2 linked regions of the Saccharomyces cerevisiae S288C genome follow. The protein of the gene in region 1 purifies or fractionates together with the protein of each later gene. This does not show direct contact. Each region holds a gene or a part of one and is shown in the gene's direction. Other genes may lie near its edges. The genes, in order: WTM2 and RNR2.

The links.
Region 2: the proteins of WTM2 (region 1) and RNR2 purify together in Saccharomyces cerevisiae (affinity purification with mass spectrometry; 4 studies listed by BioGRID, with this or other methods). This does not show direct contact.

Annotation. Positions count from the first base shown.
Region 1 is NC_001147.6:766,175-770,399, forward strand, and holds WTM2 (transcriptional modulator), read left to right. Parts: upstream 1-2,234; coding exon 2,235-3,638; downstream 3,639-4,225. Other genes in the region: HER1 (Her1p), read left to right, coding at 1-391; MCP1 (Mcp1p), read right to left, coding at 695-1,603. UniProt on the Saccharomyces cerevisiae protein: Transcriptional modulator with roles in meiotic regulation and silencing.
Region 2 is NC_001142.9:390,422-394,103, forward strand, and holds RNR2 (ribonucleotide-diphosphate reductase subunit RNR2), read left to right. Parts: upstream 1-1,982; coding exon 1,983-3,182; downstream 3,183-3,682. Other genes in the region: VPS53 (Vps53p), read right to left, coding at 1-432; YJL028W (uncharacterized protein), read left to right, coding at 890-1,225; YJL027C (uncharacterized protein), read right to left, coding at 1,412-1,828; RRN7 (Rrn7p), read left to right, coding at 3,546-3,682. UniProt on the Saccharomyces cerevisiae protein: Provides the precursors necessary for DNA synthesis. Catalyzes the biosynthesis of deoxyribonucleotides from the corresponding ribonucleotides. RNR2 provides the diiron-tyrosyl radical center.

The DNA of each region.
Region 1 (4,225 bases):
TTCATCCGCCAATTCTTCGAGAATTAGCGGGTCGTTAACACCAGATAGCAGTGTCGCCGGAGGAAAGAAAGGGGAATCCTCTCGCACATCTGGTACAAGGCCAAAAATCTTACCAAAGATTCCTACCGGTGCCGAATTAAGGGATGCCATTATTAAAGCTAAGGGTATTGATTCTGTAGATGATCTGATTAAAAATGTTACCTCTGAAAAGGTTGGATTGGAATCATTATATGGAGATGAATTGAACTCTAGAAGCCCGAGTAATGACAGTTTACAAGAATCACAACAAAAGGCGCCTTTGCAGAGGCCCCTTGTTGAAGATGAAACAGTGACAAAAAAATATGACAAACTATTGAACGATCTGTCTAATGTTCGTCACAGTAAAACCTAAATTATTTTATGCTTCTGTCTTTCCTTTCTCTTTCGATTATTAGAAGGTGCATCTTTGTATAAATATCCCATCAATAATGTATTCTTAGGAATCTATATATGTATGTACGTTTTATGTGTATATGTATTTTACGTTTTTTCATAATCATATACTTTCTGCCGAAATTTTTTGCCTTCATTATGCACACTAATGTTATTAATCAGATAAAAATACAGAAATTTAAAATAAATACTGAGAATAATATAATTAACTGTTCGAGAATTGTCGCAAATTAATAGCTTCACACTACTCCCACAAGGATTCCTAATTCACGTGCAACAGCAACCGGATCTTTTTGAAAATGCTTTCGAATTGGTTGGGACCCAGTTTCGTAGAATCCTCTTTCATCAATCTAATCAGAGAAACGAACCCAACGAGTGTTAATAGATTGATAGCTGTGGACCATTTTTTCCTGCTAGTCATTTTTCTAACACCGAAATAACGGCAGAGCCCCGAACCTATATGATATACACCTGACTCGAGGAGAATAGCTAACGGCACCAGGCCTCCAAGCCATTTCCACCACCTGTTCTTGCTAGATAGTAATTGCTTTATAGAGGCGAAATCCACCTCAGTAGAGATGGAATTCGGCACCCATTTCATAATTAATAAGTGGTATATCAGGACGGGAACAAGGATGTATCCACTAATCACTTGTGGAGGAATGCGGAAGGTCTTATACAATCCAAATAAATAGCCAGAAATTCCACCAGTTAAACCAATCGAATCTTGGGATAGATCTTGTTCGGCCGATATCTTTAAATGTCGATGTCTATTTCTTCTTGGCTTGTTCCAGTTGTTCACGATTCGGAGCAAGACACCAGCAGAAACATGAAGAGTAATACCCGCAACTAACAGCTTGGTAGTTATGGACGGTAAAATCTCTCTCACCATCATTAAAACGTCGTCAGGAGCAGAATCAGGTGATACTGCCGGCGTGATTAATGTATTTGCTGCATGTAGTGGGAAATACAATGCCATGGGCAGTACCGAAATCTTTTGACAGTTCCAAAGGAATCTCCGACATGAACTCCTGGAAAAAGGATACGGAATGCCAAATATTTTTTTCCTCTTATCAGGATTACCATCTCCTTCGGGGCTATGTGCATTAACATCATGAGGGAGACTAGCAGGGTCTACTGGTTCTGGAGGCACTTCATGCAACTTTATCATCGTAATAAACAAAACTCTGGGCTAACTGGTATATGCCCTAGTAATTCGGGACCTGTTAGGAGCAATACAATCTACACAAGGTTTTCCTTACTTATTTTCCAATTGACGACCAACTTGCCTCACACAATTACAGAGCACGTATTCGCTCTCTAGCCACTCTTTTCAAAACAAATTTTAGTTGTGGACCTGGTTAGGATACAATCAGCGATGTCGGAAGACTGATGTAGTAGAATTGACTGGAACGCTTCTTCTATAGTCTACACGGAAGCTATACTCCCTTGAATAGATGGTAGATGTTCCGCATAAGGTTTGTCCTTTTGGTTTTTTAGCCCCGTTCGGGGTTCGAACTGCTAAGTCATATTCCGCACATATGCGTCCGCAGACTCTCATTGGATCATTCTTACCCATTCGGGTCATAATGCAAGCCTTTACCATTTATGGCACTTTGATTTCCCTTTCCATCTCACATCTTCAATTCTATTGTTTTTGAAAAAAAAAAAAAATAAAAAAAAAAAAGATTAAAGGCAATTAGTTAGCTGACGTATGGAACATCTCTGCTGTACAGCTACATTTACTTATAAGACAAGGAGCAATTAGTAGCGACGGGAGCAAGAACTAAAAAGGATAGAGGATGGCGAAAAGCAAATCCAGTCAGGGTGCGAGTGGAGCACGCCGTAAACCGGCACCTTCTTTATACCAACACATTTCTAGCTTTAAACCACAATTCAGCACAAGAGTCGACGATGTTTTACATTTTAGCAAGACACTGACATGGAGAAGTGAGATTATTCCAGACAAATCCAAGGGCACCTTGACGACTAGTCTTTTATATTCTCAAGGTAGTGATATTTACGAAATAGACACTACTTTACCATTAAAGACATTCTATGACGACGACGACGACGACGACAACGACGACGACGACGAAGAAGGTAACGGCAAGACGAAGTCTGCAGCCACCCCAAATCCAGAGTATGGTGATGCTTTCCAAGATGTTGAGGGGAAACCATTGCGCCCAAAGTGGATTTACCAGGGCGAAACAGTGGCAAAAATGCAATACTTGGAAAGCTCAGACGACAGTACGGCGATCGCGATGTCCAAGAACGGCTCTTTGGCATGGTTCAGAGATGAGATCAAGGTTCCCGTTCATATCGTACAGGAAATGATGGGCCCTGCTACTAGATACTCTAGTATTCACTCTCTAACCAGACCAGGTTCATTAGCAGTGTCAGATTTTGATGTGTCGACAAATATGGATACGGTAGTAAAGTCACAAAGTAACGGCTACGAGGAGGACAGCATCTTGAAAATCATCGACAACTCCGATAGACCGGGAGATATATTACGTACAGTGCACGTTCCAGGGACCAACGTGGCTCACTCAGTTAGATTTTTTAACAACCATTTATTTGCATCTTGTTCAGATGACAACATTTTAAGATTCTGGGACACAAGAACAGCGGACAAACCGCTTTGGACGCTAAGCGAACCGAAAAATGGACGACTAACGTCCTTCGATTCCTCTCAAGTTACTGAAAACCTATTTGTCACTGGGTTCAGCACGGGTGTCATCAAGCTATGGGATGCGCGTGCTGTGCAACTGGCTACTACTGACCTCACACATAGGCAGAACGGCGAGGAACCGATCCAAAACGAAATAGCCAAGTTGTTCCATTCTGGCGGCGATTCCGTTGTCGATATCCTGTTCTCACAAACCTCTGCAACAGAATTTGTTACGGTTGGAGGAACGGGTAATGTCTACCACTGGGACATGGAGTACTCTTTTTCAAGAAACGACGATGACAACGAAGACGAAGTTCGAGTGGCTGCTCCGGAGGAACTTCAGGGTCAATGTTTAAAATTTTTCCACACAGGTGGCACAAGAAGATCGAGCAACCAATTCGGGAAGAGGAACACTGTGGCGCTACACCCCGTAATCAATGATTTTGTTGGCACTGTTGATTCAGATAGTCTTGTTACTGCCTACAAACCATTTCTGGCCAGTGACTTCATTGGCAGAGGTTACGACGATTAAAAAAAAAAAAGAGTAAGAAATTAACGTTACCACCTATGGGAAAGGCAGTAACTCACAAGCATTCACGTACATAATTCTGTTTTTTTTTTTTTTATTCATTTCTAGCACGCTATCGGGGTTATTTTTTTTTTTGTAATATATAGTGATGGTATAATGTTGTATAGATACTGGTATCGCTCCTAATAAAGACTCTTTCAGATTTCTGAAGCCAACGAAGTAAGGCCTCAAGAAAAGAGGGTTACCAGTAATTAACCAAGCAATTTCTTTTTTTTCTTTCCAGCAAAGAAATAAGACAAAAACCGGCTATATGGAGAAGAGGGAGGATCTAATGGTGACATAGTCCATTTCAAGATTCCCTCTTTCGTTTCTCGGATGAAGCTCGATGTTTACAATTCAGAATCTTAAAAGGCTGTCGCTAAGAAAGACCCAGAGGCACATGCAAGATAGTTGTGCCTGTACCACGTGAGAAGGCGGTATTCAATATGCGGTGCTGTGCTGGCTTCCCTTTTTGGAACGCGCCGGGGTATAACAAAGAAAGGCTAAGTCATACAATAGGCAAAAGACCTTTGTCTTTCCTTTTTTTCCTC
Region 2 (3,682 bases), on another chromosome or scaffold:
ACACATTATCTTATAAGGGGACACCATTTTTTTGAATGAGCCCTGTGAGAGTAATTCATTGCATTGTATGTAACTGTCTGTCAATATCTTTAAATTTTGGAAAAGAGTCAAAGAGTGGGTGAGGTTTTTCTTGGCAATGTCCAGGTACGAGATACCTTCTGTCAGATTCGATATCGTCAACTCGGTGGAGGCTGAGACATCTTGAGTTTCTTTGAAATCTTGGAAAACTTTCCTCAGAGAAGCCTCTATTTCAGCGGAATTTTTAGGGTGTTCCTTCAATTCATTCTCTTCTTTGAGAATATCCTCTTGCAATTGCTTTTTGTAGCTTCTGGTAATACTGATCAGTTCATCTATGTTGTTCAGGGATTCTTTTGAAAAAAGTATATTGGTAATATCTTCCAGCGGGTCATAATCTACCGTACCTTCCAGCATTGTCCTTCTGAGAAAACAAAAATGGAAGATGTTGTGAAAATGCAGTAAGTGACAATAAGCTAGCGACTTTTCAATGATCGCAGATTAAGTATATATACACTTTAGGTCTCCTTCTCTTCTTTACTAGCTACGAAAAAACAAAGAAAAAAAAAACAAAATAGAGGGAAAAAAGATATACGTATAAAAATATGCTCCAGGGGAGGTTCGAACTCTCGACCTTCAGATTATGAGACTGACGCTCTTCCTACTGAGCTACTGAAGCACTATTTCTTGTTCCAACCGAGGAATAATACTAGACCTGTAGAAAAGTACCGCTTATCTAATATCCAACTTTTTCTTCTGTTCCCTTTAGTGAATTCAAGATGAAGGAACATAACAGAACGGAAAACAAAAAAAAAGGGAAGAAAAAAGATATCACCACCAATTGGCACGCTCGCAACGGTTTCGGGCCAGATTCATGGCCCTGTGGGGTAGAAGTGCCTACAGACAAAAAACCGTTACGTCCCGCCTCACCAAGCATCGACACACAAGCCCTCTCAACCTCCTTAATTTCTTTATCTTTTTTTCCCTTCACCTCTGTGCTCTTTTTTTAGCCACAGCTGTGCATTACGCTTGCTTTGCTTGTTTTGTTCTCTTTCGCCATGCCATATTACTACTTTTCTACTTACTGGCACGAGGCCGCGCAAGCCAGATCCAAGCACGCCAGAAAGTGCGGTGTACTGGTGCAACCTTTTATCGATTTCTCATCATATCGCTATCGCAACGGGCATGGGCGACGAAAAAGCCAATCTAAAGCGTTGTCTTCCTCGTTCCTCGCGCACGCGATTTTGCGTTCTGCATAGGAAGCCGAAGTCGAACAAGAAGCAGGCAAAGTTTAGAGCACTGCCCCTCCGCACTCAAAAAAGAAAAAACTAGGAGGAAAATAAAATTCTCAACCACACAAACACATAAACACATACAAATACAAATACAAGCTTATTTACTTGACATCGCGCGATCTTCCACTATTCAGCGCCGTCCGCCCTCTCTCGTGTTTTTTGTTTACGCGACAACTATGCGAAATCCGGAGCAACGGGCAACCGTTTGGGGAAAGACCACACCCACGCGCGATCGCCATGGCAACGAGGTCGCACACGCCCCACACCCAGACCTCCCTGCGAGCGGGCATGGGTACAATGTCCCCGTTGCCACAGAGACCACTTCGTAGCACAGCGCAGAGCGTAGCGTGTTGTTGCTGCTGACAAAAGAAAATTTTTCTTAGCAAAGCAAAGGAGGGGAAGCACGGGCAGATAGCACCGTACCATACCCTTGGAAACTCGAAATGAACGAAGCAGGAAATGAGAGAATGAGAGTTTTGTAGGTATATATAGCGGTAGTGTTTGCGCGTTACCATCATCTTCTGGATCTATCTATTGTTCTTTTCCTCATCACTTTCCCCTTTTTCGCTCTTCTTCTTGTCTTTTATTTCTTTCTTTTTTTTAATTGTTCCCTCGATTGGCTATCTACCAAAGAATCCAAACTTAATACACGTATTTATTTGTCCAATTACCATGCCTAAAGAGACCCCTTCCAAAGCTGCTGCCGATGCATTGTCCGACTTGGAAATCAAAGATTCCAAGTCCAACCTTAACAAGGAATTGGAGACATTGAGAGAGGAAAACAGAGTAAAGTCAGACATGCTTAAGGAGAAATTGAGCAAGGACGCTGAAAATCACAAGGCTTACTTGAAATCTCATCAAGTTCACCGTCACAAACTTAAGGAAATGGAAAAGGAGGAACCTTTGTTGAATGAAGACAAGGAGAGAACTGTTCTTTTCCCTATCAAGTACCATGAAATCTGGCAAGCCTACAAGCGTGCCGAAGCTTCTTTCTGGACCGCTGAAGAAATTGATTTGTCTAAGGATATCCATGACTGGAACAACAGAATGAACGAAAACGAGAGATTTTTCATTTCCAGAGTTCTTGCCTTTTTCGCCGCTTCTGACGGTATTGTTAATGAAAACTTGGTTGAAAACTTCTCCACCGAAGTCCAAATTCCAGAGGCAAAGAGTTTCTACGGTTTCCAAATCATGATTGAAAATATTCACTCTGAAACTTACTCCTTGTTGATCGATACTTACATCAAGGACCCTAAAGAAAGTGAATTCTTGTTCAATGCCATTCACACCATCCCAGAAATCGGTGAGAAGGCCGAATGGGCTTTAAGATGGATTCAAGACGCTGACGCCTTGTTTGGTGAAAGACTAGTTGCCTTTGCCTCCATTGAAGGTGTCTTTTTCTCCGGTTCCTTTGCCTCCATTTTCTGGTTGAAAAAGAGAGGTATGATGCCCGGTTTAACCTTTTCCAACGAATTGATCTGTAGAGACGAAGGTTTGCACACCGACTTTGCATGCTTGTTGTTCGCCCATTTGAAGAACAAACCAGACCCAGCCATTGTTGAAAAAATTGTCACCGAGGCTGTGGAAATTGAACAAAGATACTTCTTGGACGCCTTACCAGTTGCTTTGCTAGGTATGAACGCTGACTTAATGAACCAATACGTTGAGTTCGTCGCCGACAGACTGTTGGTTGCTTTCGGTAACAAGAAATACTACAAGGTCGAAAACCCCTTCGATTTCATGGAAAACATCTCCTTGGCCGGTAAGACCAACTTCTTCGAAAAGAGAGTTTCTGACTACCAAAAGGCTGGTGTTATGTCCAAGTCGACTAAGCAAGAAGCCGGTGCTTTCACCTTCAACGAAGACTTTTAAGAGTATCTCTCTATATATTTCTTTTTACGCAGTCTCTTCAATCTCTTTATGTGGGCTTTCGCACCTCTTATTTATATATATATATATACACTGAATCATATAAACTTTTTTTTATATTGAATCTAATATATTATCAAACGGAAACTTCGGCTGAATTTCATACGTATATTGATTAAAGTGGAAAGGGCATCGGAAAAGTAAGAAAAGCTTAAAAAAATTGAAAAAAAAAAAAAAAAAAATAAAAAATAAAAAATAAAAAAACCTATACAATACATACATATGTATATGAATATAAACCTGGAACGATGTGTCTTTAAAAATAGTTGAACGAACTACTCGGACATACCCCTACATCACTTAAGGATGTCTACTTTCATAAGAGGTCCCATCTGCGGTACAGACAACTGCCCCTCACGGCTTTGGCGTATCATTGATGGGAGAAGAACCTGCCAATATGGTCACGTTATGGAAGGTGACGTGGAATTTAACGACGATGAAGA